Macaca mulatta: one gene and its partners. The protein of the gene in region 1 interacts with the protein of each later gene in a pairwise test. Links are inferred from orthologs where the notes say so. Each region holds a gene or a part of one and is shown on either strand. Other genes may lie near its edges.

What was found. The genes of interacting proteins can lie anywhere in the genome.
Region 2: the proteins of UTP14A (region 1) and GADD45G interact in binary tests that used the Homo sapiens proteins (3 or more experiments, as listed by UniProt). The link is inferred for Macaca mulatta from reciprocal best matches to the Homo sapiens genes UTP14A and GADD45G.
Region 3: the proteins of UTP14A (region 1) and APLP1 interact in a two-hybrid assay, tested with the Homo sapiens proteins (2 studies listed by BioGRID and IntAct). The link is inferred for Macaca mulatta from reciprocal best matches to the Homo sapiens genes UTP14A and APLP1.

The regions. Positions count from the first base shown.
Region 1 is NC_133426.1:136,379,679-136,387,261, forward strand, and holds the end of UTP14A (U3 small nucleolar RNA-associated protein 14 homolog A), read left to right. Parts: intron 1-1,273; coding exon 1,274-1,671; intron 1,672-2,394; coding exon 2,395-2,588; intron 2,589-2,717; coding exon 2,718-2,817; intron 2,818-5,548; coding exon 5,549-5,821; 3' UTR 5,822-5,965; downstream 5,966-7,583. UniProt on the Homo sapiens protein: May be required for ribosome biogenesis.
Region 2 is NC_133420.1:120,270,053-120,277,373, reverse strand, and holds GADD45G (growth arrest and DNA damage-inducible protein GADD45 gamma), read right to left. Parts: upstream 3,453-7,321; 5' UTR 3,349-3,452; coding exon 3,296-3,348; intron 3,040-3,295; coding exon 2,938-3,039; intron 2,805-2,937; coding exon 2,591-2,804; intron 2,503-2,590; coding exon 2,392-2,502; 3' UTR 1,909-2,391; downstream 1-1,908. UniProt on the Homo sapiens protein: Involved in the regulation of growth and apoptosis. Mediates activation of stress-responsive MTK1/MEKK4 MAPKKK.
Region 3 is NC_133424.1:47,112,342-47,120,433, reverse strand, and holds the start of APLP1 (amyloid beta precursor like protein 1), read right to left. Parts: upstream 4,209-8,092; 5' UTR 4,146-4,208; coding exon 3,999-4,145; coding exon of another isoform or gene 3,952-3,998; intron 3,170-3,951; coding exon of another isoform or gene 3,114-3,169; coding exon 2,970-3,113; exon of another isoform or gene 2,926-2,969; intron 2,080-2,925; exon of another isoform or gene 1,969-2,079; coding exon 1,836-1,968; intron 1,629-1,835; coding exon 1,516-1,628; intron 1,257-1,515; coding exon 1,123-1,256; intron 1,011-1,122; coding exon 826-1,010; intron 375-825; coding exon 244-374; intron 1-243. Other genes in the region: KIRREL2 (kin of IRRE-like protein 2), read right to left, coding at 6,296-6,631. UniProt on the Homo sapiens protein: May play a role in postsynaptic function. The C-terminal gamma-secretase processed fragment, ALID1, activates transcription activation through APBB1 (Fe65) binding. Couples to JIP signal transduction through C-terminal binding.

The sequences.
Region 1 (7,583 bases):
ATCTTCCCAAGTGGGGTTTACTGCACGAGGAACTTAAGCCACAGTCCCAGTCATACAGTGGATCATTGGCAAAGCTGGGAATAGGACCCAGGACGTCTGCTTTCCAACATGCTACTTTTCTTTTTTTTTTTTGAGACAGGTCTTGCCCTGTTTGCCCAGGCTAGTATGCAGCGGCACAGTCACAGCTCCCTGCAGCCTTGACTTTCTGGCTCCAGCGATCCTCCCAGCTTAGCCTCCCAAGTAGCTGGAACTACAGATGCACACTGCCATGCCTGGAAATTTTTTGTTGTTGGGGGAGTGGAGGTGGTAGAGATGAGTTCTCACTATGTTGCTTAGGCTGGTCTCGAACTCCTGGGCTCAAGCAGTCCTCCCCACTCGGCCTCCCAAAATGCTGGCATTACAGGCGTGAGCCACCATATCCAACATCGCACATGCTCCGTTTTTTTTTTTTTTTTTTTTTTTTTGAGACAGAGTCTTGCTCTGTCACCCAGGCTGGAGTGCAGTGGCGCAATCTCAGTTCACTGCAACCTCCGCCTACCTGGTTCAAGTGATTCTCCTGCCTTAGCCTCCCAAGTAGCTAGACTACAGGCACATGCCACCATGCCTGGATAATTTTTTGTATTTTTAGTAGAGACAGGGTTTCACCGTGTTAGCCAGGTCTCGATCTCCTGACCTCATGATCTGCCCGCCTCGGCTTCCCAAAGTGCTGGGATTACAGGCATGAGCCACCGCGCCTGGCCACATGCTACTTTTAATTACCAAACTCCGTTGCCTGCTATGATTAGTGTACTCTCTAGGAGATTCAATGTACAGAATCTTCTTTTCCCTGTTTGTCCTCGTTAGAATGTCTTATGTGGTACCTAGCACTTGGTGGGTGCTCAACAAATGCTTACCAACCAGACAACGTACATACCTCCTTTTCCTGACACAGCTTTCTTTTTTTTTTTTTTTTTTTTTTTTTTTTTTTTTTTTGAGACGGAGTCTCGCTCTGTTGCCCAGGCTGGAGTGCAGTGGCGCGATCTCGGCTCACTGCAAGCTCCGCCTCCCAGGTTTATGCCATTCTCCTGCCTCAGCCTCCTGAGTAGCAGGGACTACAGGCGCCCGCCACCATGCCCAGCTAATTTTTTGTATTTTTAGTAGAGACAGGGTTTCACCGTGGTCTCGATCTCCTGACCTTGTGATCTGCCTGCCTCGGCCTCCCAAAGTGCTGGGATTACAGGCGTGAGCCACCGCGCCCGGCCTTTTCTGACAGCTTTCATTCTTTTTCCCCCAGATTCCAGCAGCCAGGAAGTGCTGTCTGAATTGAGAGTACTATCTCAGAAATTGAAGGAAAATGATCAGTCCAGGAAGCAAAAAGCAAGTTCAGAGGGGACTATTCCCCAGGTCCAGAGAGAGGAACCTGCCACAGAAGAAGAGGAGCCCCTGTTGCTACAGAGGCCAGAGAGAGTACAGACGCTGGAAGAACTAGAAGAGCTGGGAAAAGAAGAATGTTTTCAAAATAAGGAGCTTTCCAGACCTGTGTTAGAAGGGCAGCAGTCAGAGAGGACCCCAAATAATCGCCCTGATGCCCCTAAGAAGAAAAAGAAGGAGCAAATGATCGACCTACAGAACCTCCTAACCACACAGTCTCCCTCCGTGAAGTCTTTGGCAGTTCCCACAATAGAGGAGCTGGTGAGCAGAGCCAGGGTGGTGGGCCATTGTTCAGAAAGTGTCCTTGCACAAGGAGTAATGAAGCTTTGTTTCGCTGCGGGCACATTTCAGTAATTGAGAAGTCCAGAATAGTATAGGGCCAGGCTGGTCCTAAAACAGTGATGTTTTAATAGATGCAGATCTATGGGTGCTGTCAAGACCCCTATTTCCGAAACCCTGATCCACCAAAACTCCTCTGGGGTGACTCTAATACTGCTCTCAGAGGAAAGAGGGAGTAACTCAGAGTTCTGACCAGATCCCAGGCAGGACAACTCGAAGGTGAGTCATTGAACTGTTGCCAAAGTTTTATTCAGTGGGATCTCAAATGGTCTAAGACTCCCCAGTTAATCTGAAACTCACTGAAGCATCCTGGCACCTGTCTTTTAAGGGATATAAGCTAGACGAAGCCTACAGTCTGGCCACTTAGAGCTCCTGCTGCTAACACGGGCCATTCTTTCCTCCACCCTGCAGCTTCGTTACTCAAAAGTTTAAAATTGTGTCATATGATAATGAGCTAGAGATACTTACCCTAGAGGGAAGAAAACTGGAGCATGATTGGCTGCGCACTAGTTTGTATCTCAAGACCATCATTGTTCAGCACTTCCCTCTAGGGGGCGCTAAAATGTCACGACCCAAAATTCAACCGTTCTCGCCATGAACCACAGCTCATAAGCCAAGCTGTAGCTCTCGCTTGTTTCTCCCCAGGAAGATGAAGAGGAGAGAAACCAAAGGCAGATGATAAAGGAAGCTTTTGCTGGGGATGATGTCATCAGAGATTTCTTGAAAGAGAAGAGGGAAGCCGTGGAGGCTAGTAAGCCAAAGGACGTGGACCTGACGCTACCTGGCTGGGGCGAGTGGGGTGGTGTGGGCCTAAAGCCCAGTGCCAAGAAAAGACGCCGGTAAGAATGCGGAAGAAAGTCTGTCAAAAGGGCACTAGGTTCTCCCCCATCGCCCTTCGGTGTCCTCCCTACCCTTTTGACTAAGTCCTTAATGCTCCTAGTCAGATGTCCTGTTGTTTTGCTTTCCAGGTTTCTCATTAAAGCCCCTGAGGGTCCTCCAAGAAAAGATAAGAATTTGCCAAATGTGATTATTAATGAGAAGCGCAACATCCACACAGCGGCTCATCAGGTGAGAACTTAGAGAGTTCTTTAGCTGCCTGACTTTCTTGCTTGAGAGGAGTATTCTAGTGATCTGTAGTCAAGAGGGACGTGTGATCTTGACCACAGAATCAAATCTATTGTTTTTGCTGAATGGCTGTTACATTTATCATCTCAGATAGACTATGCTGTTTTAATTACTAGCCAGGAAAAAAGTTTAGAGTCAAGGTAATGCTCAAACAGAGGCTATAAGGTTTGAGCTGTAGCTTAAGAAAAATGAAGACAAACCGGTACTTGTTCAGGAGAATGAGAAGATTGTAAGTTGTGTCACATGATAACGAGCTGGGGATGTTTACAAGAGAAGAAAATTTGAGCGTGATTACGGTGTTCAAGTATATCGAAGGTTACTGTATGAAGTCACATAAAGTAGAAGTTAGAGGAGATACAGAATTCAAGGCTGCTCTGGGAGTATGAGTACATGTAAAGGGGACTCAAGAATGAGATTGGACTAGATGACCTTTATGTTCCCTTCAATTCTGACATCTGTCCCCAGCCAGTATATTGAAATGAGTTACATTTTTCCCTCTGAAGGAATAAGGAACTAATGGCTACAGAACAGAGGTAAGAAGATATACATTTCAGTAACATTCTTTTTTATCTTATTTTGTGAACCAATCACTGCAGAAACTGAAACGTAACTACTGCAGTCCCAATTAAGGCTATATAACTAGAAAATAGGCAGTTACACGATAAGGGAAGGGGGGAAAGGGTGCTTCAGTGGGCCAGGATTCCAGGTGATGGGTAGAGTATAGAGCTCAATAAAGACGACCCTTCCCTTCCAGGGGTCTATTTGTTTTTTTAATGCAGTCATGGCAAACTGACAAATAGTTTTCTAGGAATCTCCCCTGATTTTCATCTTTTTAATAAGTTACTGCAGGTTCCAACATGCAGTAGAATAAAGTGCTTCAAGGTGCCTAGGGGGGACTTCTGAGACTGAATACTTTGTCCAGGTGTTCTCTTTGTCCAGGTGTTCTCTTTTTCTGTTGCCCTGGTTGACAAGCACAGATGTAGCCGTCAACCCAAATAAGACATTCCCTTAACTTAAAGAGAATTTGTTTCCTTCGCTACTACCAGGACCACCAGATAGTGCTTAGCTTCTCTTGAGTATTCCACTGAATGTTTCCAGAGACTACTGATTTGCTTTTTTTGTTTTTGTTTTGTTTTCAGATGGAGTCTCACTCTGTCACCCAGGCTGGAATGCAGTGGCATGATCCCAGCTCACTGCAACCTCCACCTCCCAGGTTCAAGCTATTCTCCTGTCTCAACCTCCTGAGTAGCTGGGATTACAGGCATGCGCCACTACGCCCAGCTTATTTTTGTATTAGTAGAGACGGGGTTTCAGCATGTTAGACAGGCTGGTCTTGAACTCCTGACCTCAAGTGATCTGCCTGCCTCGGTCTCCCAAAGTGCGGGGATTACAGGTGTGAGCCACCGTGCCCTGCCAAAGACTACTGATTTTTACATCCCCATTTTCTGCTTACGTGTCTTCCTCCTTTGGCCATTGCGGAAGTGTTGAAAGATTATTTAAATGTCTGAAGGTAGAAATGTGGTGGAGGAATACCAGGCAAGGAAACAGGAGCTTTGGGTTCTGTTCTCCAATGCTGCTCCTCATTTACTTAGCTCCATCATTTCCTCCCTCTAAGCCAAATTTTCAGGCCAGAGATGACCATTGCCAATATCTAGGGCCTTCCAGCTCTACATTCTGTGGTGCCAAAAGAAGATGAAGCCAAGTGGGCCGGGTGTGGTGGCTCACGCCTGTAATCCCAGCACTTTGGGAGGCCGACGTGGGCGGATCATGAGGTCAGGAGATCGAGACCATCCTGGCTAACACGGTGAAACCCTGTCTCTACTAAAAAAAAAAATTCAAAAATATTAGCCGGGCATGGTGGCAGGCACCTGTAGTCCCAGCTACTCAGGAGGCTGAGGCAGGAGAATGGCGTGAACCCAGGAGGCAGAGCTTGCAGTGAGCTGAGATCACACCACTGCACTCCAGCCTGGGCGACAGCGAGACTCCATCTCAAAAAAAAAAAAAAAAAAAAAAAAAAAAAACCCAAACAAAAACAAACAAACAAAAAAGATGAAACTTTAAGTGTAATGGCCTGGTAGAGTTCAGGATTCGGGTTCCTTGAAACATCAATCCTAAGAGAGGGAAGGAGGAGACTGAGAGCATAAAGAGGGTAGAAAAGTTATAAAATCCACAGGGATACAAAATGGTCTGGATTCTTGCAGTCACAGTGTTACATAGGAAAGCTCACTCTGGGACAACAGCCCTGGAGCTCCTGTAGCTGGATAGGGACAGTGTCACTTGTAATCCCAGCTACTTGGTAGGCAGAGGTTGCAGTGAGCAGAGATCACCCCACTGCACTCCAGCCTGGGCAACAGAGTGAGACTCTGTCTCAAAAAAGAAAACAAAAACAAAGACAGAAGTAGTGTCAGGTTGGTTTTTTTAGACCCTGAATTGTTGAATAAACAGGGGATCCAGAGCCAACTTAGGCCCCCCTACTCCCAAATGTCATCAAGCAGATTTGACTCCTAAGAGCAGATGGGAGCGATGGGATGCCTTAACCTCTCAGTCTCTTCAGTTGCAGTCATCATGTGGAACCGTGGCCTGTACCAAAATAGTACCTGATGAGAGTTGTCAGAACAGTGTATAACTGCACCCCAGGCCTGCCTCATACCAAATCATTCTCCTTCCTTTCCAGGTACGAGTGCTTCCATATCCATTTACCCACCATTGGCAATTTGAAAGGACCATCCAGACCCCCATAGGATCCACATGGAACACCCAGAGGGCTTTCCAAAAGCTGACTACTCCCAAGGTCGTCACCAAGCCAGGCCATATCATTAACCCCATAAAAGCAGAGGATGTGGGCTACCGGTCTTCCTCAAGGTCGGACCTGTCTGTCATACAGAGGAATCCAAAACGAATCACCACACGTCACAAAAAACAGCTGAAGAAAAGCTCTGTAGATTGAGTTGCTGGAGGAGTGACAGCCAGGAGCCCTGACTTCACTTCCTTTGGTCCACTTTTACTCTGGTACAGGGTGGATTCCAAAACTGGCTCAGTACATTGCATGTAGTTGAGCCACATTTTAAAAATAAAGGCATTTTTTAATCTATTTACCCGGAGTATATGTTGCATTGTCCCCCAGTGGAATCATTTCATTCAAGTCAGACACCTTTGGATTCTCCAGCATTGCATTTCTCGAGTTGCACTTGTCAGGGACTTCCTTTTCTTACCAAGGATTATGTAGTTGGTCCTAAATCGAAGTGGAGAAAATTCACTGTAGTCTGTAATCAAATATATCACATCAGATATGATCCACCATTGATAACTGCCAACTGGAAGAGACAGGGTTAATAATGATAAAATATTGTATATTTTAACCTCTGAACCTAGAAAGAGGATGTACAAACTGCAATTGGATTCTGCCCTAGACTGATCCTAAGACCAGGACGGTGCCAAAGCTGGGTTCTGTCCCCACAAGTCTAGCCACAGCCATTTTTTTCACGTGTGTCAGCTTCCCGGCTTGTACAGGCTGCTGTCTACAATATCTCGCATATAACCTTCTACTTATTTTCTCATAAGAAGACCAGGAGGTTTTACCCTTATTTTGTAGATAAAGGTAGATGTGATTTCAGAAGTAAACCTCTACTGCCTTTCCTTCCTAACTCAGGGCCCACTCCTCACCATTGATTGAAAGTGTAGTTTATTCAAGCATTGCTTTGCTATGTGACAGTTCACATGGGCTTCTCAGCTCTGAGGAACTTGGCCTGCCTTTGGATGGCAAGAAATATATGGAAAGAGCCCCTGCAGCTCAATTTCCTAACAAGGAATTTGGGAAACCTAATTCCAAAATGATACCACTACTGCACCTTGCCTCCTGCCTTGGAGATTCAGTCCCATCCCCAGCATTCTTAGACCACAGTGGGTTCGTTTTTGTGTCACAGGTCCCTCTAAAAATATGCTGAACGTTATGAACTATCTCCAGAAAAATGTGCACACACACACACATTTGTATGGCATTTTACATAAAGTTTCAGGGGTTTTCAAGACATTTGGAATCCCTGGGCCAAAAGTTGTACCACTCCCAAATTTTCTTTTGCAATCCCCCCAACAGATACGGCCTTCTCTTCTGAGCACACCACTCTCCAAATCAGTTCCAAAATGTTTAGACCTCAATGGTAGCTAGTCCCAGTATCTTCACGGGAGAAAATTCTCAGAATAGAGCGATGTATCTAGTGTTACACATCAAACTGAAGTGAAAAGCCAAAGGATAAATTTCTATGAATTGCCCAGCGGTCCCCTGTGGCCCCCTACCATTGCTCATCCTCTGGAAAGGGAAGAGAAATGAGTATGTTGAGCAGTGTTCAGTGCCCAAAAGGCATGCTTAAGTTATCCATTGGCTTGAGATTATCCACGATCCACTCGCTGGTTGACACTTAAGTCAGTAGCCAGTGATAGGGGATGCGGGACCCCTGCCCACTCCTGCCTCCGTTTAAGAGACCACAACATTCTCTTGCACTCTTGAGCACAAAGCTGCTACCTCTGTCCCACCCACCCCCCAAATTGAAGCACCCAATCAAGTGTCCCCGGTAAACGGCCAATCCCCGTCTACTTTCCCGGGACCCTCTTCAGCTCCGTTTGCTCCCCACTACCCAGGAGTGATGCAAGCGACCCCATCCTTCAAAGGAGAGGGCAGGTGCCGGAACGTGCCATAAACGACGCCCATTCCC
Region 2 (7,321 bases), on another chromosome or scaffold:
CAAGTGCTCCAGCACCTGGAAGTTCATGGCAGCAACGTGTTGGTCCTGAAACCAGATGGCTGGTCCGAAACCCACTAGTTCACGTGGAGTTCTGTGCTCTGAGACAAATGTCTTCATTAGCTTTTAAGTATTACTGTCATTAACATTCATTCAGTGATTTCCAGATGCCAGGCATTGTGCTTGTCTCTCTGGGTCACCTCAACACATATGTTGTGACAATTACCATGCATTAAGGGCTTATATATGCATGATCACTTAGGGTTGTTGGAAGTATTAAATGCAATTATGTGTTTATAAACACTGGGCATTTTATTATCTGCCTTCTGGGTTAGTTCATGTTAATAGCATTAAACACCAGTTCATCAAAAAGAAAAAAAAAAAAGTTTAGCACAACTTTTGGGCATGCTACTGTGTTCCATCATGCATTTTTTTCCCTGCAAATTCTGGAGCTCTAACAGGTGGCCTCACAACAAGCTCTAATCAAAAAACCAAGGGCTTGCAACCTCATGTTCTGCAAGGCTTGCTTGGCCAACAGGAGGGTCTGCCTAACTGCTCTGTATAATGTTCTGCTGAATTTACTCATTTAAAGTAATCATGTCTACTTTGTGTTTCCAATAGCATGTTCTGGTCATTTTGCGGGAACACAGACTGGTAGGCCCACCCCAAGACTACCTCAATAAGAAAACCTTAAGACTTCAAGCAGCAAATAGGTAAAATAGTCATGAAAATTGGGCACAAACACAACTGAACTTTTTATCTGGGCTTTTGTCCCATTGAGCAGCAGATGTTTTTAGGAGCTGATAAAAGGAAAACAGGATGCTTTCATGGCAAGAAGAGTAATTCAGTAGTTTTCCTGTTGCCTCAAGAATGCTCCTGTAATTTGGAGAGAATTTTAGGAAGTGGCACTCAACAAGGTAAATCAGCCACCCCAAGGACTGAAGACAGCACACCACGCGTCCTTTTCCCAGAAGGCTCGGCCTGCTTGGCAGCCTAGCTGAGAGCACAAGGGCCCCACATGTATTTCCCCAGATGAAGCAACTAGTTAGACACAGAACCAACTCAAGCCATACTGTCTCATAAAAAAAGATTGATTCGATCAGGACATTTCCCCCTCCTTCCTTCTTAAAGAAAGTCTTGGCTTAAAATATTTAATTTTTTTTTTCCTATGAGTCTTTAAACGGAATTGTGAATAGCAGCAATCCTCGTAACTCTGATGTGGGCAGAGAACACTCAAAATAGTAGATAGCAGATGCCAGGCCCCCTCAGAATTGCTCATGCCTATTTATATAGATGCTGCCTTCCAATTTTTTCTCAGATCTTCCAAGTTCGATCACAGCCATGACAAAGTAATGACTCATACTTAAATGCAGTCATCAATGTCATATTTGGTATTAATACCTTTGTAGCATTGCTTTTTGTCAGAGCATCTAAGAGGAAAAAGTCCCCAAGAGCAGGAGCAGCCTGCCACCGTCCTCAGGGACCACAAAGGGCAGGGCCTGCAGAAGGCAATGCTCATTGTGCAGGAAAGCCTGCGGCCTCCGGCAAGCTGTTCTGATAAGCAGCTGTGGGAGGGAGGGGGAGGAGGGCCGAGGGAGGGGGAGGGGAGGCAGAGGTCACTGTTATCGCCTTGGAAGGCAAGACTTCAGCTGCTGCACTGATGTCTTTTCTCAAGTATGCTCCTGTTTTGCAAGTTTAAAATCTTCCTAAAAGGAGAAAAGTAGGAGCCAGGCTCAAGTTCTACCCTAGCACTGGGCAGCATGCCCTCCCTCTGCCAGCGCGGAGGAGCCTGTCATTCTTGCCCGACAGGAAGACGGAACAGGTGCCATCAGTTCCACGGAGTTCCAGCAATCCTCTGAAACCCTGCGCACCACCTCCCCCGACACAAAGATCCCCTACCCTCAATAAAGAGCATAAGTTTGTTTCAAAAAGTTTATTGTAAAATTCAAAGCTTCAACAGCAGCATCCTTTAGAAAACGAAGCATTGCCCGGATCCGTTTTGAAAAAGCAGCGCAGTTGGCTAAGTCCTTCACGCTCCTGCAACTGTACCAAGTCCAGGGCGCCGCTCCTTCCTGCCGAGCGCAGGCTGCTGAGTCACGCCTGCCCGGCCAGTCTGTCCTTCCTGGCCCTGAGGCCAACGTCCTAGCCTAGGCCTTCCTGGGCGAGCAGCCGCTCCAGACACTTGCAGAGTCCTCAGCTCGGGCCAGCCTGGCCCTGCCGCCGCCGGGCCCCTCCTCGAGAGGCCGCGCCTCCTCACTCTCCAGGCGCCCCCCCCGCCTGCCAGTCTCCACGCCGCACTCGGGCACCCTCGGAGGGCCCCTCCACAGAGCCAGCCGCGCTCTAGGCGCCCCGGGGCGTCACCACGTCGATCAGACCAAGGTCCCCGCCGGGCTGTCACTCGGGGAGGGTGATGCTGGGCACCCAGTCGTTAACGCTGCGGCTCTCCTCGCAAAACAGGCTGAGCTTCTCCAAGGCGGGATCCTTCCAGGCGTCCTCGTTGGGGTTCTGCTGAGAAAGAGCAGGGTCAGCCTGGCTGGCCGCGGGCCGAGGCGGGAACTACACCGGGGCGGGGACCGGACGGGGCTGTACTCACCGAAATGAGGATGCAGTGCAGGTCGCCCGGCGCGCCCGCCTCCTCGCCGGCGCCCACGATAGCCGCCAGCCGCTGCACATCGCCCACGCGCACTATGTCGATGTCGTTCTCGCAGCAGAAAGCCTGGATCAGCGTAAAATGGATCTGCAGCGCGATGTCGCCCTCGTCCTCCTCATCGGCAGCCAGCACGCAGAAGGTCACATTGTCGGGGTCCCTGCGAGGGCAAGACGGGGACCAAGGTCAGAACCGGCAAACCAAGTTCTCCCGCAGCCACCCCTCCCATCCGCCGGTCTCTTCGCCATTCATCCCCGCCCCTGTCTCCCAGCCTGGGTCGCGTCTACACTTACACGTTCAGGACTTTGGCTGACTCGTAGACGCCGGCAGTGAGGCAGCCCTGACGCTGCGCGGACAGCAGCAACTCGTGCAGCGCTTTCCCGGCACCCTGCATCCTGCGGAGGAGCCAGCTAGTGAGCGGGAGACGGCCGTGGGGCGCGGTGGAGCCCCGAGCCCCGGCCACGGGGATTCACCCTTGGCTCTCCAACTCCAACCACACTCCAATCCCGGCTTGGCGCCCGCACCCCGGCTCTCCAACCCGGATCTGACGCCCGCACCCCCGGGCTCGGCTCCTATCCCGCGGATTCCCACCCTGGAGAACCCTGACGGTCGCCGACTGACCAGCCGCTTTCTCAGCGCCCTGAAACCCACCTGTCTGTGCTTTCCGGAACTGTGTCCTGGCCGCGGACTTCTTCCAGAGTCATAGTGCGATCAAACAACAGCAAGTTATCCACAAGCGGAGAGCGCGGAGGGGACGCGGGCGAACACCCTGAGACCAAGAGCTCAGCACGGCGCGCCCACCACCAGCGAGTGCGCCCGGGCTACGCTGCGCGTCCTTATATAGGCGGATGGGTGCGGCGCCGCCAGCTGGCGCGAGGCTGCCCGCCTATTGGCCGGCACCCGCTTTCTGATGTAAATGAGACCGCGAGCCCGCGGCTCGTGCCAGAAGGCCACGTGGGGAGGGGTGCGGGGGATGACAATGCCTCAAATCTGCCGCTTTTGTTGGGGTGTTACCAGGCAGACTGGAGCCTGCAGATTTCATCTCGCCTGGCTTTCTTTTTTTTTTTTTTTTTTTTTTTGAAGTCCTTAAAAGGAAAAAGTAAAAAAAAAAAAAGCCAATCCACAAAAACCTTGTTTGCTAATATGATGCTGCAATTTGCGAAAAGCACCTTTATAGAATCAAAAGGAATTTTATTTCCATTTTTTATTGCTACCTTTCTATTTGTTTCTTTTCTTTAATTTGAAGTTTATGAGACTGTTGCATTGGAGCAGGAAATTAAGGTAAAAACAGGTAACGCCAGTTAAAGGCTTGCAAAAGGCAGTGGGCACAGCCCCCTGCAGCTGACCACTAGCGTCCGGAGCGCGCTGGTAATGCCTGCCAGGCATACTCAATGTGTACATTGAGTAGTCGCTGGAAGATCCTACCCCACCTCCCCGCCCTTGGCCGAGAGCAGCGGGGCGCCGGAGAAGGGGGCGGGCAGGGGCGAGCAGATTGCGGCCGGCGCACGCCGCTCGTTTGCATTTCTATGGAGGGCGCACAATAGCAGAGGTCTGGCGTGTGGCGGTTTGCAGTAGGGACAATCGAGGCTTTCTCTTCATAGCAACACTGTCCACCTGCCGCCGGGTGGGGTGGGCAGGCCCCCGCCGCGCGTGGGGGTCGCCGGGCTGCCTGGCGCGTGGGGTCGAGGCTGAGTGCCACTCCGTGGTCCCTGAGTACGCGCCGCCTGTACTGGCCCTGCTACATGTAATTCCCTTCCACCCGTTCCTCGCACGGGTGCCGAGCAGCCGCGCGAGTTGGGAAGCACAGAGAGCTGCTGCGCAGTCTTCGCGACTGGACGCCCTCTGGCCGGGACCCCGCGGCTGCGGCCCTTGGAGCTTAGGGGATGTAGTTCGGAATCTGTTTCCCGGGGCGCCATCTACAGGCAGGTTAAAAAGATCCTGAATCCCTTTTCTCCTCCCCTCCCCCAACACACACACCCTTGCATTGGCCTGGTGCGGGGGAAGGGCGGTGGAGGGGGTCGGCCACGGAGCTGCCGGGCCGGGGCCACTGAGCCCTGTCCAAGCTGCGCATTAATAGGAACCCCAGTAAGGGCTGCAAAACGCATTCAGGTGGGGCTGCAGTTACCCTGGGGAGTAGAGGGCAAAAGGAGATTCCCATCCAGTACTGATGGAGTAAGAGCCCCTACGTCTTATGCCATGTTGAAATATTTTAATTACTTAAATACGCATATGTAAAAAGCCTTTTTTCCAGCAATAGAATAAAAGTCTGGATCTTGAGAGAGTTTAATAGGCTAGAGGTTGCTGCCGCTTGACCATACACGCTGGCACTTTCAGAGGATTCACCCACTGACCGCAGCACTTTTGGTGTCTGCGCCTTCTGTTCTACGTGGAAAGGCGCGCTGGGGACACCTCAGTGCTCCCCTTTTTTGGGTGAGGCCTTGGAGACTGGCCGGGACAGTGGCGGGCCGGGTGGATTGGATGGAAACCCGGGCCCTGCCGCAAGACTGGGGCGATAATGGGAAAGTAAACAACGCCGAAGCTTTCTTTGTTCCTTTCATTCAGGCTTTCTTCACGTGGGTGGTGAATGTACAAGGTACTTCTGAACTTGCTATGGGGAAGTTTTCATTCTGCGCTTACAGGCAGGCGCTTCTGCCAAAGTGAGAAGCTGGCGTCTTGCGCCCCCCAGCGGCTTCCCGGCAGAGGAGAGCTGCAAAAGCCCGGCCGATCCTGGATTCTAAGAATGAAGAACTTGCTCTCCTAGCATTTCTGAACTCCAGAGGTGTCTCCTAAGGACGTGGGCATAGGGGGAAGCGGGGCCAGGAGGCATTATGCCCCGTTTGTTCGCTAGTTTCTTTTCTTTCTTTCTTGGTGTATAAAATGATGATATGCCTTGATTGGATAAAATACGTTAATTTTAAGTGATTGGAACATAGGTATTACTCTTCTAAAACTATTAAACTTTTCTCTTCTTTTCTTTTCTTTTTTCTTTTCTTTTCTTTTCTAAGACGGAGTCTCGCTCTGTCGCCCAGGCAGAGTGCAGTGAGCCGATCTCAGCTCACTGCCACCTCCGCCTCCCGGGTTCAAGCGATTCTCCTGCCTCGACCTCCCGAGTAGCTGGGACTACAGGTGTGCCACCACGCCGGGTTAATTTTTGTATTTTTAGTAGAGACGGGGTTTCACCATGTTGGCCAGGCTGGTCTCAAACTCCTGACCTCGTCATCCACCCACCTCGGCCTCCCAAAGTGCTGGGATAACCGATATGAGCAACTGCACCCGGCCTACTATTAAACATTTTTTTAATGTATTAGTTACAGGTCTCCAGGAAATGCTGGAAATAAAATTTACTTAACATGCTAGCACTCCACCCCTCCAATGTATAACACTAAAATCTGCCCACATGCCAGGCCAGAGAAAACAAAGGCTAGGCCTGAAGCCTCAGCCCCTCCTCCCGGAGGAAGGCCACTACTGAATACTCCCGACTTTGGATCAGGGGCGGGTGCGTTTCCAGTCCCTGCTGAGCTAGCCCGGACCAGGAGGGATGACTGACAACCCCTGGGGCTGTTCTACTCTGCTCACATTTTTAAAGTATTCAATTTCAGGAAACTGCCTTTTTGACACATGATACAGCACCGCTTTGCTTTATTAGGTCAGTCCCAATGGCCCCAAAGCCTCCATCTCAATTAGGGAAGAACCATTTTGTCTGCAGGCAAAGTTGGCCTTCCAGCAGACCCACCACCATGTGTCTTCAGTTCAGTCACATGCTCAAAGCTTCTGGGCCCGGGATGCCCCTGTGTTGAGGAGTGGGCAGTGCCCACTAGAAGAAGTGTGAGGATCCAGAATGTCCCACTACACGGCTTTGTGGCCACAGCTCTCCCAGGGGACTTAGCCTGCTCTGTGCTTCAGGTCACAGGTGGCTGAGATGTTGCCCTGAGCTTCCTGTGACTGCACCCCTAAACCTTCCCCTAAATCTCAATAATGCAGGTGATGGTGACTTACTTAAAGGGAAATCCTCAGAGATGCTCTATTTTAAAACCTTTTTGGAAATGTTTATAGTTGAACTGTTTTTATTAACACATTCTCTGAAATGTGCTTCTCATTCTTTCATGGCTTGACTAGGTCATTGATGGGCAGATGTCTTTCATCTGGGTACAGAAGGAAATGAGCTTTAAGTAAGCAGTACGCTTTAGGAGACATTCTTTGTTGCATTCTCACACGTTACTTATGTGTGGAGAGTGCACAACATCGTTATTAAATAGTAGGTGTATGCCCTTATCCTACCCAAGCAATGTGCCCAAAGCCACTACTGTCCAGCCAGAGGCTGTGGGATGCAAGCTGCTGGCTGCACACCAGCCCCATGCAGGCTGCAGGTGGGATTTCTTTGGCCTATGAGGTGTCTTAGGCAAAGTCAGATTCACTACCACTTTTCAAAGTTAGCTGCATTCATATAAACATCTGGATTTCTAGCTTCTCCTGGAAAATGGGTGGATTTGGCCATGATGTACCTAGAATTCGCTCCCCACCTTGGTAATCTTCAGCAGGGATCGGGGGCACTGGGATCCCGCAATGGGCACTGCTCTCCCATTCACCACAATCCCCACCAGACCCCAGCTGAGGACACCCTGCTGCTTTGTTCATTTACATCACCTTCCTGTCACCTGCAGACGTTTGCGCTTGCAA
Region 3 (8,092 bases), on another chromosome or scaffold:
ACAACAAAAACCAGTAAAGTGAAAGCGTATCATAGACCAGAGTTTCCATAGAATCTGGTGGTGTCTCAGTAGGATTATAGATGGGCCATGGATCTCTGGTCATCTTAGGGGATGGTGTTGAGAGCTCAAGGTCAAAGGGGCTTAGGGAGCCTTTGGAGGTAGTATCAATGTGTCCTGGAGGAGTTTCCTGGTATTTAGGGAGCTCTGTACTGTAGGGGGTCCTGGGGCCCCCGGTATCATCACCTCATTAATCTGGCGCATCCTACGCTCCTCCAGGTCCATCTTGGCCCTCAGGAACCCCTCGTGCTCACTGATTTCCCCAGGCATGCCAAAGTAAATATCCACACCATCTGTGGGCCTCGGGGTGGGAGTGACTGCAAGACCAGGGATCAGGAGGTCAGTCTGCAGCCCACCTCCAGGTCGCCTTTTCTACTTAGAGAACCACATTTCCTAGAGTGCACCGGAGACCATCATGCACCCAGTTTAGCCACCTCTGCTGCCTGGCATTATGGGAGATGTAGTTCTGGACTGGGCCTAGCCTTTTCTTGCAAAGCTTAGGAATCCATTACACCATCTTCCAAGCTTTCCTGAAATGATCCTCAGGACCTACCCAATGGCCCCTCTACTCCCAAGTACCCTCAAACCACCCCCTCCCTTGGCAGGTTAGCTCTTCTACCTCTGTTTTATCTAAAGATACTCTCATCTTTTCTCCTCAGTTGGGCCTTTCCCTCATAGGTCCCTCCCAAAAACAGCCCCCGGCAACACTCCCCCAGATGTTTCTCCCTCTATGGTGGAGAGGCCCCAGAGGTTCAGAGACTGCCTCACCTTTGCTGACCACTGCAAGTGTATGGGAGCTTGGGGGTGGGACCCTTTCCTCCTCTTCTTCCTCTTCAGCCTGTGGAGGCTCCACGAAGTAATCGTCTACTGGCTGTGGGAAGGATTCCTCCTCTTCCTCATCCTCAGCCCCCTCTACTCTGCTCCCCGGGGGCCAGGACCGGGCGGAGGGGTCACTGAGGGAGCAGGAGAGGACCCAGGCAATAAGAACCCAGGCCCAGGCTCCCAGGCTTCCATCCCCTGCCTCAGGAACCTTGGGATGGGCATGGAGGGTTCCCTCTCACTCACCCAACTGCTGTCCCAGATGGGTCGGGGGTCCCTGGAGGGGGACAGCACACATACTCCACACCACGGAACCGATCCGAGCCACAGGGTAAAAGCATGCCCGAGCCGTGCAGGATGAGGCCCTGGGAGCTGCAGGCCTGTAGGAAGAGTGGACCCAGATGCCAGGATTGTGGGGTAGGAGGGGTAGATGGGGAGCTGGGCTGCCTGGGTTGGGGGTTGATGAGGCTGGGAGCCTGGATTCCTGGTTCTGGAGGAAGGGGTTGGGGGATGAAATTCTTAGATCCCAAGTGGGAAGAGGATACTGGTGGCCCAGACCCTCGGTTCTGGTGGAGGAGGGTGTTGGGGTCCTGGTTCCTGGGTTCTGGGGGCTGGGGACGGGTGGGCCAAGGTCCTGACCTCCTGTGCCTCCTGATGCCTCCGGGTTGAACTCTCGCATTGGTCCATGCGCTCCTGGTGCAAGAACCGGCAGCCTTCAGGCACCAGCAGGGCCTCGCTCACAAATTCACCAGCTGGGGAAGCACGGGACACCAGGGTGAGACCCTCCTACAGCACCAACCCCACCCTCCTCAGAATCCAGATATTTTATCCTCAGAGGCTTCTCTGCCCCACTTAGGACACAAGCACCCACCCCCTTAATGTGGGCCCGAGAGAGGGGCTCAGAATTTTGCCCCTCGGAAACTCCCACCTCAGTTCCCCTCTCCCCGCCTGGGACTCACGCAGGCAGCGGAAGGGCACAACCTGGTGGTGGGGGTGGGTGCAGCTGCCGCTCCGGGCACCCCCGCACCAGCGCTCCATGGGGATGGCCTGGGTAGCCTGCTCTACACGTGCGATCTGCAGCTCCGGGTACATCTGGGGGGGTTAAATGGGGGCAATCAGCCCACAGCCCCGCCTCTGCCAGCCACCCCTCTCCAGTAGTCAGGTCCCCTTTCTTCCCTCCCTCCCTCCTTTCTCTCTCTCTCTCTGTCTTTCTCTCTTTCTCTCTTTCGGAGATTTGCTCTTGTCGCCCAGGCTGGAGTGCAATGGTACAATCTCGGCTCACTGCAACTTCCTCCTCCCAGGTTCAAGCTATTCTCCTGTCTCAGCCTCCCGAGTAGTTGGGATTACAGGCACGCACCACCATGCCCGGCTAATTTTTGTATTTTTAGTAAAGACAGGGTTTCGCCATGTTGGCCAGGCTGGTCTCGAACTTCTGACCTCAGGTGATCCGTCCGCCTCCGCCTCCCCAAGTGCTGCGATGACAGGCGTGAGCCACTGCGCCCGGCCAGGTCCGTTTTCAAGGCTATCTTTTTTCCTGTGCTGTTTCTTTCTGAAGGTCCCTCTAAGCCCACCTCTCTGGTCACCCCTCCCCGCAGTCAGATTCGTCTCCCCAAAGGTCTCACCCTCCTTTTAGCCCTGCCTTTTCCTCTATTTCGCCTCTCCAAAGCTCTCCCTTCCCATTACAGACTTGTCTTTTCGTGGCCACGCCCCCCAGCTCTCCGCGCTTTCATTGGGCGCCACCCCTTTCCCCATCTCGCTGGTCCTTAAGGTCTCTTTCTGTCTTAGCCCCGCCTATCCTTTCGCCACTCCCCACTACACCTCTGCTTTTTACAAAGACCACCAGATTCCTAAATTCCACTTCTTCTCTGGCTATCTCGCGGTTCTCCCCCTTTCCTGACTTAGTATCTCAAAACAGGTCCCCTGCCCTAGCATAGTTGCGCCTCTTTATTGGCCACGTCCGCTAGCTTCCACGTCTTAGATCCCGCGGCACCTTGGACCACGCCTTTTTCAAGTGTAGCTTTCTACGGGCGGCCCCGCCTCGTTTGGGGCCCGCTTTCCCGCTGGCCCCGCCCCTCCCGCTCGGCCCCGCCCACCTGTCTGCAGTACTCCAGCACGCGCTGCGGGTCCCGGAGACAGCGTCGAGAGCGCTGTGGGTCTGGTTCCCAGCGGCCGGTGCGCAGGTCCCGGTGAAGGGTTAGGCGCCCGCATAGTCCAGCCACCTGGGCCGACCCCTGGGCCTGGATGGAAGTGGAGGGGATAATGAGGGCCCGGGGGGCGTTGGCATGAGGGTCCCCTGGTTCTTTGCTCCCTAGGACCGAGACCCCCAGCACCAGCCCCCTCCCCCAAGCACCGTTGTGCACACCGCCTCCATGGAGGCACCGTTCCCTGGGAAACAGCTCCCGTAGGGCGGGGGCGCCCTAGCTCTCCCGTTGCTATGGCGACCCGGGTCCCCCGGGATTCTTTCTGCCTTGTTGCCGCGGAGACAGACTCCGCCCCGACCCCAGCTCAGCCGCTCTGGAGCCCGAAGGGGTTAAACCTGAATCGCGGAGGAGGCCTGAACCCAGGCGTTCTGGCCCCTCCTCCCTCCATCCCTTGCTCAGGCTCCGGTTGCAGGGTGCAAAGCTGATAAGGCCTGGCTTCAGGGGCCTACAGTCCTGGACACCAGGTCCTTGAGGACTGGAGAGCTACATCTGGTTGGGGTGGGTGGTGACTGAAGGACCGGACTCCTGGGTCCTGGGAGGCTGCAAGGGCCTCCATATGGGTCCAGAGAATACAAGGGGTCTGGATTATTGGATCTAAGTGCCTCGCTGCTTGGTGGGTCCTATGTCCAGGAGGGAGGGGGTTGGGACCTAGTCACCTGGGTCTGGAGAGGGGGCTGGACTTCTGGGACCAGGGGCTCTGAATAGACCAGTTCCTATGCTCGGGGTGGGAGGGGGCTGGGACGTCGGAGGATGGGGGAGCTGGGGCCTGGAACCCTGGGTTCATAAATGCGGTTGGGGGCGCCTGGGGGCTGACCACCTGGCTGGAAAGACCGCGCTTTCTGTCCTGTACATGTCCGCGCTGGCGTCCAAAGACCCGGTCCCGCCCCTTCCCCCATCCCCCAGGACCCGGCCCGGCCTCACCTCGGCCGCGCCGGGGCTCCCACCGGCCAGGCTCCCGATGGCGGGCTGCGCGCGCAGAAGCAGCAGCAATAGTGGCAGCAGCAGCGGCAGCGGCGGCTGGCCCGGGCGGCGACTTAGACCGCGAGCAGCGGGGCTGGCTGGCCCCATGTCCCGGCCCTTGAGCCCTCACGTCCCCTGCACTCCCGCCCGGCCCGGCCCCAGCGGTGACAGGAGCTCCCAGCGCCACCGCCGCCACCTCCTCCTCCCGCCGCCCCCGGGCTGCGCCGGCGCCGCCAGCCACGCCCCGCGCCGGCCCCGCCTTCCTGGCCAGGACAATAGCGTGGCGGCTCCGCGCAGAGTGGAGCAGCTCTGGAACCCCGGGCGGGAGCCTGCGCCAGGCCCCCGCCCCTGGAGATTCCAGGCGTCCCGCCCCATGAAGGGCCCAGCCAGGAGTCCTGCTATGGGCTCAGCCCGTTGTGGATTTTGAGTCCTCCCGCAGGACTCTCACCCTCTTTAGACCCAGACACTCACAGTTTTGTCCTTCTCCAAGGATGCAAGCATCAGAGACCCCCGTCCCCTAGTAAATTCCTCTGTTGAGGGCTCAGGAATACAGGCCTCCAAAATGTCCCGTCAAGATGGCAGCAGTTGAGACCCAGTCCCCTCCTCTTTCAGATCCAGAAGTCCGGGCACCTTCTCTCTCAGGACCAGAGACCAAGCCCCCAGCCCATTCTCCCTCAGAACCAGGAGTTCAGTCTTCCTGCTCTGCTTCCCAAGGGTCCCAGGGGCCTGGATCTTTAACTCCTAGCTCAAGGATCCATGAACCAAAGCCCCCGGGACCTTTCTTTAAGGATCACCCAAGCAGGCACCAGCACTATGCCCACTGTGGATGCAGCGCCCCAGGATTAGGGTCTGGATCTCCACCCTTGCTGTAAGGACCAGGGGATTGCCATTTTCATGCCCATAGTCTCCTTCTCTGTCCCACTTCAGGGCTCACTCGTTTGTCTCCTCTAATGAGAGTGTAGAACTCTGTCTTTCCCAGGACCCCTGGGGCAGCCCTGTCACATGTGTGCAACTGTGTGGACATCTATGCGTGTGTCTGTGCATACATGCCAATGTGTGTGTCTTTTCTGTTTGCAACTCGTGTGTGTGTGTGTGTGTGTGTGTGCGTGTGTGTATGAAGATGTATATTAAAAGAGTCCATGACTGGGCACAATGGCTCACGCCTGTAATACCAGCACTTTGGGAGGCCTAGGTAGGCGTATCACTTGAGGTCAGGAGTTTGAGACCAGCCTGGCCAACAGGATGAAATCCTGTCTCTACAAACAAATACAAAAATTAGCTGGGTGTGGTGGTGTGCACCTGTAGTCCCAGCTACTTGGGAGGCTGAGGTGGAAGGATGGCTTGAGCCCAGGATGCAGATGTAGCAGTGAGCTGAGATGGTGCCACTGCACTCCAGCCTGGGCCATAGAGCCAGACCTTGTCTCAAGAAAAAAAAAATAAATAAAGAGTCTAGAGTGCTTTGCAGGTAGCAAGAGGCTGAGAGGTGGCTCACAGTTTTGCTTCTACAGCCACCTTATAGGCTAGGGTAGAGGAGAGACCTTGGGACAGGTCTAATGGACCCCTTCCTTGATGGAGGGTAATAATGCCAGTAGACTCCCTAAGACACACTTGCCTCTTTGACTTTTTTTTAATTATTAAACATAAATATTTTTATCCCAAGATTCCCTTTTGCCCCAACAGTGCTAATTCTCACCATATGCCCACTCCTTGGGTCCAAGTCTTTCTGAGTCTTTAGGGAAAGTGAAATCAAGATGGTGGTCATTTTGGGTTCCTAGGGAGTACACGGCCATCTTGGCTGCATTTCCATTGGCCGAGCGAAGTTTCCCTCAGGGAGAGCCACAGTGGGGCCTGGTATGCTCTTCATTTTCATCTATCCTATGCTACCTTTCTTCTCAATGCAGATGGTCATCTTGAAATATCTTCTTTCAGTGGCTAGAAACAACTTCCATCCCAGCCCCAAACTCCCAGCACCCACTGCCCTGTCCCCCTCTCTCCTCAAAGGGCCTACCTGCCATCTTGAATCTCTTTTACACTGGGACATAGGTGGGCCTATTGGGTGGCCATGTTGCTCCCACTTGGGGCATCCCCTTTGACTGAGCTGACTGTATACAAATACTCCTGACAAATGTAATGATCTTTCCCTCCCCTAGTGTTCAATTTTGGAGGAGTAAGGTCGCCAACTTATCCTGACTCCTCAGAAATCAGGACAATCCATTATGGAAAGTTGGAGATCCCAGGACTCTTCCACTGGAGAGATGTCACACATGAGTCTGGAGACGCGGGTGGCTAGGTGTGGGGAAAACAGCATATGGGAAAGGGGGAGTCCCGGGGGCCAGATCTGGGGGCCCAAAAGATGCGGGTTTGATGTAGCTGGTGAAAGCTCGAGGGTGGGGTGTGGTGAGGTAGCCTGCCTGGGTTCTGTAAAGTCTGCAGGGGGGTACCATGCCCAGGTGTGGGTTGAAGTCATAGAAGGTGGGGGCCCCTGGGGGCCCAATGGGGGAGGGTGGTGGCAGGAAGAGGCCTCCTCCAGGGGCTTCGCCAAGGCTCAGGCTCACACTGACTCCTCGGACCTTGTAGTAACCGTTGGTTGGGTCCTGAGGGGACAAATGGGACTCAGTAAGGTCTGTGAGCATGCAGGGGGGATGAGGGTCACTGATGGGTGACACTGAGGGTCACACACTGAAATACACCAGACCTTGAGAGAAACAAAAAGTGACAGGAATGGGCAGAGACACAGAGACACACATGGACTGGGAGAGAGAGAAAGTGAGACAGAAGAACAGTGACAAGAGGCAAAGGGATAGGACATGGGCAGAGAAAGGTAGAGACAGAGGGATATAGGCCTGCTGAGGGGTGTCAGTGTGGAAGATGCAGAAGGAACAGGAGAGAGGCACTCACCTGCCCAACAGCCTCTAGGCTTTGATTCAGTGTCATGCCCTGTGTTGCTGCTACAAGGCATGTCACTAAGATAGAACTGAACCCTGTCCTCACACCAAGGGAAAAATGACAAATCATGAGACAGTACCCAGAAGGGTCAGGGCCGTGCCTGGGAAAGTCATAGGCAGTGACAGGGGCTGTGATGGCAGAGCCCTCAGCATAGCGAGCGGGATAAGGAAGCCCAGATCAGAGTGGTCATAGTTGTGATGGGTGGAACACAGGCAGAAGGATCGGGCTGTCATGATGGAAGCATGTTGCGGGAAGTCAGGGACCCTGAACAGAGGGACCAGCTGGAGCCACGGCAGAGGTACATAAATTGTGATCACTTTAATATGGACATTTATCAGTTCCCGAATATACTTTTATAATTTTTTATGCCTGTCTTTAATCTCTTAATCCTGTTATCTTCATAAACTGAGGATGTATGTCACCTCAGGACCACTGTGATAATTGTGTTAACTATACAAATTGATTGTAAAACATGTGTGTTTGAACAATATGAAATCAGTGCACCTTGAAAAAGAACAGAATAACAGCTATTTTTGGAGAACAAGGGAAGACAACCATAACGTCTGACTGCCTGCGGGGTTGGGCAAAAAGAGCTTCATTTTTCTTTTTGCAGAGAGCCTATAAACGGATGTGCAAGTAGGAGAGATATCACTAAATTCTTTTCATAGCAAGGAATATTAATATTAATACCCTGGGAAAGGAATGTCTTCCTGGGGGGAGGTCTGTAAACGTCCAACTCTGGGAATGTCTGTCTTATGTGGTTGAGATAAGGACTGAAATATGCACTGGTCTCTTGTAGTACCCTCAGGCTTACTAGGGTGGGGAAAATCTCTGCCCTGGTAAATTTGTGGTCAGACCGGTTCTCTGCTCTCGAACAATGTTCTCTGTTATTTAAGATGTTTATCAAGACAATATGTGCACGCTGAACATAGACCCTTATCAGTGGTTCTACTTTTGCCCTTTGTCCTGTTCCCTCAGAGGCATGTAATCTTTGTTAGACCCTTCTAGTAGTTCTGCTTTTTGCCTTTTGAAGCAAGTGATCTTTGTACCTACTCCCTGTTCTTACACCCCTCCCCTTTTGAAACTCTTGATAAAAACTTGCTGGTCTG